Linked DNA regions of Daphnia pulex. The protein of the gene in region 1 purifies or fractionates together with the protein of each later gene. This does not show direct contact. Links are inferred from orthologs where the notes say so. Each region holds a gene or a part of one and is shown in the gene's direction. Other genes may lie near its edges. The genes, in order: epidermal growth factor receptor-like, growth factor receptor-bound protein 2 and uncharacterized protein LOC124188642.

Evidence for each region.
Region 2: the proteins of epidermal growth factor receptor-like (region 1) and growth factor receptor-bound protein 2 purify together in Drosophila melanogaster (affinity purification with western blotting; 4 studies listed by BioGRID, with this or other methods). This does not show direct contact. The link is inferred for Daphnia pulex from reciprocal best matches to the Drosophila melanogaster genes Egfr and drk.
Region 3: the proteins of epidermal growth factor receptor-like (region 1) and uncharacterized protein LOC124188642 purify together in Drosophila melanogaster (affinity purification with western blotting; 5 studies listed by BioGRID). This does not show direct contact. The link is inferred for Daphnia pulex from reciprocal best matches to the Drosophila melanogaster genes Egfr and kek1.

The regions. Positions count from the first base shown.
Region 1 is NC_060021.1:730,356-734,424, reverse strand, and holds the start of epidermal growth factor receptor-like, read left to right. Parts: upstream 1-1,179; 5' UTR 1,180-1,438; intron 1,439-4,069. UniProt on the Drosophila melanogaster protein: Receptor tyrosine kinase, binding ligands of the EGF family and activating several signaling cascades to convert extracellular cues into appropriate cellular responses. Known ligands include spitz, gurken, vein and giant-lens.
Region 2 is NC_060028.1:9,115,122-9,119,298, reverse strand, and holds the start of growth factor receptor-bound protein 2, read left to right. Parts: upstream 1-1,274; 5' UTR 1,275-1,670; coding exon 1,671-1,748; intron 1,749-1,835; coding exon 1,836-1,933; intron 1,934-2,004; coding exon 2,005-2,124; intron 2,125-3,309; coding exon 3,310-3,475; intron 3,476-3,552; coding exon 3,553-3,726; 3' UTR 3,727-4,177. Other genes in the region: protein brambleberry-like, read right to left, coding at 1-66, 125-310, 373-501, 575-883.
Region 3 is NC_060018.1:5,469,886-5,473,996, forward strand, and holds the start of uncharacterized protein LOC124188642, read left to right. Parts: upstream 1-1,219; 5' UTR 1,220-2,710; coding exon 2,711-4,111.

The DNA.
Region 1 (4,069 bases):
TGAATCTTATCAGAGAGAGAGCCGGCAAGTTTTATATATTCACAGATATATCCTGGACTTTGTGCTAAAAGGGTTGGCGACAGTCGCCTCACACCACCAAACTTTCAAGAAATATCAACCTTTTTGGGTTGGAAATATCTCGGTGTTTGATCTCTACTTAAAATAACCCTCCCTCCCCTGTCCTTTTTTTTTAACCAATTTGAATAGATATACGGCAAAGAAGGTAAAAAAGGAAAAAGGTGGAAATTGGGATGAAAAGTCAAGCCGCTCGCGCGCGCTTTCCAAGATGGCGGCGCCTGGAAGTCAGGAGGCCTCTGGATGGAGGAAGGGGGAGAAAAAATAGAAAATAGAGAAGGACGCCAGTAGATGTAGAAATCTGCCATGTGTTTACCTGTCGGTGTGTCTATATAGCCGGCAGCCATTTTTTTAATTTTTTTTCTCTTTTCTGAAGAAAAAGATAAATTATTCTTTTCTTTCTTATCACATCTAATACCTTTCTCACCTTTTGGTTAGTTCTTTCAGCTGCTGCACAGGTTTTTCCAGGCACACATAGACGAGACGTTCGTGAAAATTAGCGCCGACTTGTGACTTTTTTCACCTTTTTTCTTCTTCTTTTCCCGTTTGAATGTTATTTGGAATCTGGGTGTTATTTTTATTTTATTTTAAGAAAATGTCCAGGCCCTTTTTTTCACCTGTTTGATGACTACAGCAGACGACGATGGCTATCGAACCTTATTCGACTGCTGGTATAGATCGGCACAATAAGTTAAGGGACTCCCAAGTGTCTTATAACTTGGTGTGTTATCTGATGACGCAAGGCTGAGCACACCTTTGCACGTAACAATCGGACACTCTTGAGCAATACGAGTCGATCTGCATAAAGTGAACAGAATTGACTCGGATCAATTTCGATTATTTTTAAAAAATAAAATGCCGAATAGAATAGGAAGAAGAAGAAGGAAAAAGGGGGGGAAATGTACAAGAATGGAAGAAGAAGAAGAAGAAAATAAATAAAAAAAGGCCCCAGGGCAGACTCTTGTAACTACAGGTAGAAATAAAAAATGGGCAAATAAGAAAAGGAGGGAGAGCTACAGGTAGAAAAAAGGTAAGACGAGGCTTCTCTCTCTTTCAGGTGGTGGTGGGGGGGAAATGAGCGACTGGCTTTTTCTCAACTTCAGTCTCGAGTTTGTTGTCCGTGTGTCGAGGACGTCGTCTTACCGACTCTCACATATAAATAACATTTTTTAAATTTTGGTGTTGTGTGTGTCTTCTCACCTGTGTGTGTGTGTGGTTGGATGCCTCAACAGATTGTGTCTATAGTGAACAAGTTCATTTTTTTAGTTTAAAGTGAAGACTAAATAGTGTGGGAGGCTTGGATTAAATTGAAATTCGGTTGGATTATTTAACAGCGGTAGGAGGAAGAGTTAGGAGCCAACAGGTGAGATTTTTTGGTTTGATTTTTCGATGGCGCTAAATTTGAATTTGATCAATGGCTCGACGGACACAATTTAATTTATTAAGATCGGTTGGGATTAGAGAAGCTCAACAGGTGTGATAGACGGGCAGGATCGACCTTGGCCGTCGTCACACAAAAAAATAGATAAAATATGTCCAGCAAACAGATTGATGGGCAGCCGAAAAGGTCGTGTGAAATTCATTTCGTTTGAGCTTTGGGGAGGAAATCAAATGAATTTCAACTGGGCGAGAAAGTCTGTTTGAGCTGGGCTGGAAAAAAAATGTTTACGAGGTAATGATTCTCCTAGCTATCTAGCTAGCTAGGTATTAGGTTAGAGACGGCCATGAAACTAAGCCAAGTGGACGAGAGAGATTCTCCAGTCAGATTCTCTCGCAGTTCAATTTATCTCGGCCCGTCTGAACTGTGATGCGTTTGGTGCCATGGCAGAATTAAACAAGAAGAAGAAACATATATACATTCCTCCTTGTGGTGGAGGGCCGGCCGAGCTGCTGCTGACTCATCTGCGCTTCTGGCTCTTTTCGTGAAGGAGGGCGCGTTCGCCGTGACTTAGCGGGAAAGAAGAAAAAAAATAAAATATTCACCTGCTCAGCTCTCACAGCAGCTCAGTGTGTGTGTTGCCTTTTGGTCCGTCTGTGTACGTAATGACAGCGAAAAAAAGAAAATACTTGGCAACCATCTCATCATATCTTTGCTGGGCAGACGAATAGGCTTTCCAAATTCGGCTGGAAAAATATTTTTTCTCTTTTTTCTCTTTTGAAATTGATTGTCTCTGAGTCAGACGGCCCTGCCCGCGCATTCATGTCACTCTACAAACAACAAAAAATAGAGAGTTGAACGCGTCTGGGAGAAAAATATAAGTTGACTGGGCCGGCCAGCCACCCCTTATAGACGGAATATGTCACTTAATTGGGAGTCCAGACGGACAACTCTCTTATTTTTTTCGTTTGTGGTTGTTGTTTGTTGTCGTTTGATGTGATTGGAAATTCGCCTCACGTCCCGCTCATTTTTCACCGTGGCGACGACGGGCGACGAAGGGCCAGCCATTTTCCCCTATTAGGATTAGATATTTTTTGGTTGGGTCCATCCAGGACGAGACGGGCCATGTTTATATAAATAAAAAGGGACTCGTCTACTACTACTACAAGTCACCCGCTGCTGTCGTAACTACCTGCGACTTAATATCATCATCAAGACGGGCAGCAGCTGGGCCAAAAAAACAAAAAACAAAAATAACATTTTATTTATTTTTATTTTTATTTGACCAGAGGGGGTTGACAGATGGCCCTTTGTCTCTGTCTCGTCCGATTGTTTTCATCTTTTTTATTCCCATTTTTAAAACGGAAATGTCGGAAATATATCTCACACAATGTCCGGCTCTTTTTTAAATAAAATTTCCATCTTCTTAGTATCAAACGGATGGAATAGAATTGCGTTTGGATTGAGACGTGTGTTTAGAGAAATAGCCCAGACTTGATGTAGAGATCAAGTAGAAGAAAAGAAGCTGAACGCTGGCCTGGAATACCAATGACTGGGCGACAAGATAAGACAGGGAAAAAAGCCCAGAGCCACACAAACGGTAGAAGGAGACAATATAAATCGTCGCTCATTTGTTAGACATTACATCAGAGAATGGATAGAAGAGAGAGAGAAGCATCCGTCACCATGTCAACCCGTTGAGAGATTCTTTTGCCCGGCATTTCTTTTAAAACTATCGCCAGCACCTGTCCGTTTTTTGTTTCCCGAATGTCTAAATCGTCGTAGGAATTCGACTGGGAGGGGATTCCAATCATCCGTATAAGGTCCGTCATCCGCTGGCTCACGACGGTACCTCATCAAGAGAGAAACGGACAATGTTTTTCTTTTTCTTGCCCAGCTTCTTATATTTTGTATAGAGTCCGCCGGGATCGTAAACATCACACGTTTCTTTCTTTTGGCTCCTGATGCTGCAGGGCCTCACTCATTGGCCCGTCATATCGTTGGCGGCGGCAATTTAGAGAGACGGCCCTGACGGGCGGCGGCCTCGTATAGCAACAGGAGAGGATCGAGTATCTTTGATGTACAACACACACAAGTCCAGGGGGCTCAATTCACGGCCGCAGCAGCGGTCGTGCAGCCGCCCGATGGAATGTCTCAGCTGCTGCCGGCCCGTCATATAAAAATCTCAACAGCCGGCCAACTCTATATACTATATAAGATAAAATATAAAAGTCCCAGCATAGCCTCATCATCATCATCAGAAAGATGGCCAGGTCTTCCACTCTCTTTTCTTCCCAAATGGCTTCATTTGCATCTGGCCGGCCAAATGTCTTGGCCGTCAGAAAAAAAAAATGAAAAACAGAACAAGTTTAAAAGAAGGTACGACGACCTTGTCGTCATCTTACATTGGAAAATAATGATGATGGCCATTTTCTTCTTATTTTCCCAGCTGCTGGGCAACATGGCGCCTAGCTTCTCTTGTTGTTGGCCCAGCTCACACAACTACTTGGTGTACATGTAATCACTGTGTCCAGCTGTTTTTTTTTCTGCCCCCTCAAAGGAAAAATGTTTCTTCTTTCCAGGAGGAACTTATTTTCTTCTTATAGGCCCGGCTAG
Region 2 (4,177 bases), on another chromosome or scaffold:
TTCTTGACCTTTGGTCAAAGAAGTTAAAGTATCAGCAGCCAAAGATCCAAGTTCCTCTTGCTCAGCCTGTGAGGAAAAAAAAAGATACAATACAGTTGTGATGAAAATCAATAAAGAAACCAACCTTGAGCTCTCTAATGAATCCCAATTGTTGACTAGAACTGGCCATGAGTTTGTTGACTGTCATTTGAGTCAGTGCTCTAAACTGTTGTTGGCGGGCACCGTAGCACACTGATCTTGCTCTATTGGATAGAATATGGTAGGCATTCCAGGTGTCGGAATCCATGTCAGAAGTACATTCCCTTAAAGTCTAAAAAATATAAACTGGTTAGCTACAACTAGCTGAAGTGATACATTAATTAGAAAACTTGCCATTGAAGAGGAGCATGGGTAGACTCTCCGCCCTTCCAATCTTGATTGGCAGTTTAAAAGATTCACACCCAACTTAGACAAATCTTCCTCTGAGAGATCATTGCAGTCTTGCTTCAATTGAAGGATTAACTATAAACGAGTTCATTAATATTAATGAACAGTGAGATTGTACTTTGAATCAACATCAAAGTACTTTACTTACTTTATGCTGGCAAACATCCAGCTCGCTCAGACTAAGGTCAGTATATTTCTGTGCATCGGCAATGAATTTTTCATCAGCTACAGACAGCTCAAATGGAATATCAGACCTTGCTTGCACAGCACTCTCATCAGGTTCAGAAACTTCAATCTTATCATCTTCTTTTGCTACAGCCATAAGCTTATCAAATTGTTTTTCACTACTCAAAATGTTAAAAGGGGAGCTGTCTCTGCCTAAAATCCAACCTACTAAACTAGAATGACTACCAGTTCCTAGGAGAATTATGGCCACTAAATATAAAGTTATCTTCATTTTTGTAATAATCACAGTGCAATATAAGAGAAAATCATCTGACAATAATTGTATAAGATTGTAAGAGGGTTTGGTCGATAAAATTAGTCAAAAGGAACTGCACGTTGCTTTTCTAAATTCAAGTCCGGACTGGTCTGAATCTCTGGGTCGAGATTCCTTTTGAAAACCATTTGCATTTATTCAAATGAGGCAGATAACGTTGCCACATTGCTTTTTCCAAAAGAATTCGACGGAAATTTAAATATTTAAAATCTTAAAATATTCATCTATTATGTTGTATTATAAAAAATGTATATTCCTGTAATTGAAATAATATTTTAAATAATTTCAGTCATTTGGAAAAAAAATAGTTAGAAAAAATAAAAAACGTTTACAGGCACGCAAGCATTTACCTTTAAAATTCCATTGGGAGAAAAGGACTGGTGACGCTCGTGCGTCAAAGCCAAGAACTAAGTTGTTTCCCAAAATTATGGCTGTCTGGCTTTCGTCGGGCCCCGAAAACAGTGTATAGTTAATCAAACAATCGTGGATACGGATACGTCAGTTGATAGTCAATATTGTCAAACAATTTGTGGGAAATGCTATTCGTTTTTGAGTTTCGAGAAGTGTAATTCGACTTTGAACGAAGTCAAAACATTTTGGTGATTGGCCAACAACCGTTTCACTTGATAAACGTAGCCGTGGTGCACATCCGGCCTAGCCTTGAAAAGGAAATTCCTTCTCTGAAGCTTGTTTTGCCAAGAAATACTTTATCATCTGTGATTTCATAAAACGTGTTATTTTCGAGATGGAGGCCAATTCTAAACATGACTTTAATGCCACTGCTGAAGATGAGCTTAGTTTTCGAAAAGGGCAAGTTCTCAAGGTAAACCAAGCAATGATGCTTTCAACAGAATTTAAGGAATTTTTGCTTATAGCAATATTCTAACCTGTTCATTTGATTCAAATGTAGATTCTGAATATGGAAGATGATCTGAATTGGTATAGAGCAGAATTGGATGGAAAAGAAGGGTTGATTCCTAGTAACTACATTGAAATGAAAAATCATGAGTAAGCCTAGTTGAAATGTTTATGATAAAATAATGCATATTGATTATAACTTGTTGTTTTATTTTCTACAGTTGGTACTATGGAAGAATAACCAGAGCTGATGCAGAGAAACTCTTGGGCAACAAACATGAAGGCGCTTTTGTTGTTAGAGTCAGTGAGAGCTCACCGGGAGACTTTTCCCTGTCTGTTAAGTATGTTATCTAGTTCTTAAAATAACAATGTGATAGATTTTGTTTAGAAACATAGACAGTGTAAATCCTTAACCAAGAGCTCTAGATAGTTTAGAAATGCCCCATAGGAATTCTTCTACTATGTTTGATGTTATTATTTGCCTATTCTCAAATGTTGTTGAAATCTATTTGTGGCATACCAGACTACTTATCATTAGAACATCTGAATGAGATAAGTTGACATCTATTAACTAAGCTTGTAAGTCGTTAACTGCCTAAAACGGGAAGATTTCTCAAAATATTTATGTAGAAATAGCACATTATAAAAACATATTGAGAAATATCGCTTTGCATTCAGATATCCTGATTAGACGCTACACGTACATTTGAAGCGTGAAAAGAATTTCAAACATGCAGGCTTTCATCAGTGTAAAATCAAATATCTTATAATCTCGCTCTCCAAACTGTACGATACAAGTTCTACCTTACTAGGAAGACGCGTTTGAATAGAAAATTAATGAACCGAACGTACAGTTTATTTCTATTTCCCTCAAAGAATCATGGGTATTTGGTTTTCTGTAGAAATTTGATTTGATCACGCAAGAATTCTTTCCAAATGCAGTGCATGAGTCAACCTGATGACGCACACATCCGTTTACATTCCAATTTTATTCACTTCAAAGGTGGAATGAATCTCAATTGTCTATTTTGTTTTACCTTAAAAAAACAAAGACAGCTTGTAAAATTGGAACTCGTGCAGTGACTACCCTTTGCTTAAGTCGTGACTCGTGATTCATGAACCGTCAGTCCTACTGTTTTCAGTAATTAGTTTTATCCTTTTTGGTATTTTATTAGCCTTGTTAGGCGTGTCTAGGGTACATTCTGTTTTCTATCTGTTAGGCCTTTTCGTCAAGTTCCCTTACCACTGAGCCACCGTCCGTAATCAAGCAACTATATATGTGCCTTGAACCGGAGTTTTGCATCATTTTTAGTTTTTACAATTCTCTCATCGCCCTGCTGTGTTATTTATTCCTTCTTGAGGTTTTTGCCCGTTAAGTTGTAGGATGAGTGTGTTTTGTTTATAGCTAAGGAAGCCATCATCCTACTTCCTTGTAGTTCGAAATTAGTTTGAAATTTACACAATACTTTGTTACGTGCATTCTGTGTTAATAGGCTATTCTCTATTTTTTCTTTCTTGTCTCGCAGATGTGGCGATGGTGTCCAGCACTTCAAAGTACTTCGCGATGCCCAAGGGAAGTTCTTTTTGTGGGTGGTAAAATTCAACTCGCTCAACGAACTGGTCGACTACCATCGCTCCACATCTGTTTCTCGGTCTCAGGATATAAAGTTACGAGACATGGTGCCTGAAGAGGTGAGTTACCAGTTGTTCTTTTTTCCATGCCTTTAGGCTCAGGATTGACTAACAATTGTTGTGTGAATTTTCGACAGTTCTTGGTGCAGGCACTATACGATTTCACCCCGCAAGAACCAGGTGAATTGGAATTTAAGCGAGGCGACGTCATAACTGTGACAGACCGTTCTGATCAACATTGGTGGACTGGAGAAATTGGCGCCCGCCGCGGCCTCTTTCCTGCCACTTACGTTGCCCCGTATCATACTTAAAAGGCGAAGGCACTGTTCGTTCGTTTTCTTTTGCTCCTTTTCTTTTCTTCATAAATTTTTCTTCATTTTTTTTTTCTTTTTGTATTAAAGTGGTGCGTCCGTTCTTAAGACTCAAGTTATTTTTGCCGACTTCGAACCTAAACACATTACTAACTTTGATAACAAAACAGTAAAAGTGATGAACAGCTAGGATTGACAGGATTGCATCTCATTTCTCATTGAAAGCAGTTTGTAAAATTGCTTTCTTTTCAGTTTTTTTCCGTTTATGTTGTTCTAACCTCGATTTTCGACTGTATTTCCCCTCAAGCACACAGCTTTCGGGATTGCCATTAGATGTGGCTTTGGTCGAATAGTCATGTTGGAGCAATTTGTGTGGTTTTGATTGCGGAAAGATAAGTTAACTTATCCATAACGTCGACAACAATTACTGGGCTATTAAGTTTGCCCGTCA
Region 3 (4,111 bases), on another chromosome or scaffold:
CGGCTCTCTCTCTAAAAAAAAAAACCATCCACCGCAACATTGACAGAAGAGGGAAAAAAATGAGACGCAATTTCGGTGGCCACCGCGTGAAATTGGAATGTTAATTTCTATAATCAAGGAAGGTTGGAGGGGGGGGGGGAGAAGTAAAGGGAATGGATTTACAGTTTTCGAAGTCGTTGTAAGTTGTAACCAAGGGAAACTCCGCGATTGGCAATGGTTCTGACGCATGTGTTCCAGTCATAACGTCAAATGCACACACACGGCGGCCGGGACTCTGTGTATGTTGTGTGTTTTTGGTATGTTATGTATTTTTTTGTCCATCTCAATGCCAAAAGAAAAAAAGCCGATGCAGATAATGAACCGAGTTGCGGACGTATACGCAAAGCCCCCCCCCCCGTATCCATTGTTGGCAAAGGATTTCCCTATTCTTTTTCTTTTTCGTTCTTCTTTTTTCATATAAAATCTAAAAGTTGGGCCACCAACATAAGGGCATTCCCGACCACCCCGGAAAAAATAAGGACGATGACTAGGACGACCGGGAGTAGTAGTATACGTACATGTGTGCAGCAGGACAAACGCACACATAAAAGGAGATCAAAACAAAAACCACGTCTTTATTTTATTTTTGGTTTTGTTGGTTTTTTGTTTTCTTCTTCTTAGACTTTGTGTAGAATGTAGTTGGGGGTATATAGCTCGAGGAATAATAGAAGCTAAACAATCTTTTGTCTTTGCCGGTTCCTTGTCGACTACACACCGCGCCAGTGTACACCTTCCGAGCTGCTTTTCAGACTCGCAAAAGTCGAGGAAAGATAATGGCGGGGGGAGGGCTGGGCCGGATGCGAACGCACGAAGACCCGAAGAAGAAGAAGAAGCAGAAGAAGAACCAAGTCAAAAGGAACGGAATAATAGTAATAATAACAATAATCACAGTACACACAACAACCCCGAAAAAAAGGAGTAAAGGGAAGAAAGAAAAATCTAAAAAGAGAAAGGAAGGATATGAGCAGAGAAGAAAAAAACTGAACGAACGTCAAGCGAACATTAGTGCACAGCAAAACGAGATGACGACGCTGCTGCTGTGCCATGGGCTGCCCTCCGGAACGAGCGGCCACCGCAGCTGCAGCGTCGGTTGGGTTAAATTGGGGAGGAGGAGGCTCGGAAAAAGGAGGTGGTCCTTAGCGTGTGGGGGGGCTTTTGTGGAGGGGAAAAGGAACCTGCCGATCCTAGTGCAACATCAGTCTCGTCTCCGCGCTCGCTGCTCACCGACTGCGGATGAGCTTCCGCTACGATTTTCACGTAGCCCAAAAGTGCTACACCCAACGCACAAGACACTCCAGTTTGTTTGACGCCCATCACTTACTCCCCCCTCTACCCCGCAGTTTATTTTTCAAAAACCCGATCGAAAGAAAAAAGACAAAAAAGTTTTTGGTTAAAAATTCACAAATTCAGTCGATTCACTTGAGTGAAATCGACCGCGAACAAGTGCGACACATTGACTGACACGCTCGACGACGGCCGAAATCTATTGGCGTCGGTTGACGGACATCTGCCAGTGAAGTTACCCATTTTCCTTTTTTCTTTTTTTCTTTCCTCCCCCCGTTGAGACGACGTTGTTATTATTATTTGGTGCTTCTTCTTCTTCAACTTCCTGTCGCTCCCTCGAGGCCGTTTCTCTTCTTCTTTCGGCTACGACGAGCGTCGTAATGAAGTACTAGAGAGAGCACAGGGCGACTGAGAATCAAAGAAAAAGAATTCGGCAGCAGCCCCCCTCCAATTTTTTTTTCTTTCCCGACTCACGAGTGTTTGTGTGCGCCAGTGAATGTGTGTCTCTGTGTTTGTGCTCGTTGTGAGAAGAAGAAGAAGAAGTTGATTTCCGCTCGAGACGTTTGTCGTCGCGTCTGGATATACACGCAAGAGGAGGAGACGCGCACACACACAGACACACAACAGGAAGGAATAACCCAAAGGAAAACTTTTGCCCACCTTTCACCTCTGCACTCGATCCTCAAAAGCCTTGACTCTTTAGGGCTCGTGTACTCTTTTTTAACAGCGCACACTGTCTCCCTCTTGTTGTTTCGCTTCGGCTGTGTGAGAAGAAACGAAACGAAACAAAACCGACGTCCGGACATTTTCACAAGTGGCGAGAAATACATTTCCAGACACACACACACAACAAAATCTCAAAATAAAATCTCAAAAAAAGAAGAAAGAAAGAAAAGAAAGAGGAGGCAGCAAAGTCACCCCAATGCTGCAATTGTCAAGTGTCGTCATCGATTCGCTCAGACTCGAGGGTGGTGGTTCAAGTGTCTCTGTTTAATATCATCGTCCGAAGTCTCTTTTTTTCTCTCTCCTTTTGACTGCGACTATCTCTCCCCCATTTTAAGCGAGTCGACACACCGCCCACTACTACCCCTCAATCTCATTTCAAGCTTCTCTCTCTCTCTGTGTGTTAGATTTTTATTTCCCCCAAAAAGGGGGAGAGAGAGAGAGATCCCTGATGGACTGCGGTTGATAACGCAAGACGTACCCTCCATTTCCTGGTGGTAGATATTTTTTTATTTTTTTCCTTTTTACTAAAAGGGCAAAAATATCTAAGGCACTCGAGACAAGGTCTCCTCTTCTGTCTGCTCCGGCGCAACCCAATAAATAAAAAAGGGAAAAGCTGAGAAGAAGAAGAAGAAGGGAGGAAATTAAAAAAGCTAAAAATATCATGGCCAGCAGCAAAAGCAGAAGCCGAAGCAGCACGTGGACTATTATGATGGGAGTCGAGAGATGGAATGCCATCTTGGTGCTGTGTGCGACATGGATGGTGGTCATGTCGGCCGCCGGAGGTGCCGGAGCCTGCCCGGGCGTCAAGTGGAAGGGCGGCAAGCAGACGGTCGAGTGCCGCCAGCGCGGTCTCATCACCCTGCCGTCCAACATTGATCCGCAAACTCAAGTGCTGGACCTGTCCGGCAGCAACCTGCAGACCCTGCCGCGCGAGGCCTTCTCCAGGGCCAATCTCCTCAACTTGCAGAAAATCTATTTGGCCTCCTGTCGGATCGGCCAGGTGGACCCGACGGCCCTGCGCGGACTCACCAACCTAATTGAGCTCGACATCAGCGACAATTTGCTGACGGACGTGCCCAGCGAGGCGTTGCGCGATGCCGTTTCATTGCGCGAGCTCAGACTCAGTTCCAATCCCATCCAGAAGATTGAGCAGGGCGCTTTCGACCAGGCCCCTGGACTGGTCAAACTCGACCTGTCCGACTGTCAGATCGAGACGCTCGCGGCCGGTGCATTCGACGGACTCGACCAGCTCTCCCATCTGCGACTGGGAGGCAATCGACTGCAAGAGCTCAGACCGGACGTCGTCTCCTCGCTGCCCAGTCGACTGCACGGACTTGAATTGCAAAACAATTTTTGGATTTGCGACTGCAGACTCCGCTACTTGCGCGAGTGGCTCCAGCAGCACAACGTGCCCAGCCCGGCCACGGCCGCCTGCGCCCTGCCCGAAAGGCTGGCCGGCCGGGCCCTCATCGAACTCCAAGTCGACGACTTTGCATGCGCCCCTCAAGTGATTCCGTTTCCAGCTGCTCCGCTGCTGGCCGGCGGCGGACATCCGCACCTGCACGTCGAAGCCTCGGCCGGCGAGAATGCCACTTTGACGTGCCGGATGAGCGGCGTTCCTTCGCCGGAAATCACTTGGTTGTGGCGCGGCCGTCCCATGGCCAACGGAAGCATTCCTGGCGAACCGGAAGCGCTACCTGTCGGAGAAACTGCCGAAGGCGACGGATATCCGTCCGACGAGACACGGACCGTCATCATCCTCGAGGAGGGCAAGTACGAAAAGACCAGTTATCTCATCCTGAGTCCGGCCAGAGAAACCGACAGCGGCGAATTCGTTTGCGTGGCCGCCAACGCCGCCGGACTGGCCAGAGTCAACCTGACGCTCAGAGTCGACGTCCAAGCGCCCGTCGTCGGCGGACTGGGAGGCGCCCAAATAGCCGGACTGGGAGCCGGCCTCTTCATCCTGTTGGCCGCCGTCGTGGCCATCCTCCTTCTGATGCTCATCCGCACGAGGAGTTCGGCAAACTCTGGCGGCTCATCGGCCAACAAACTGGAAGACAAC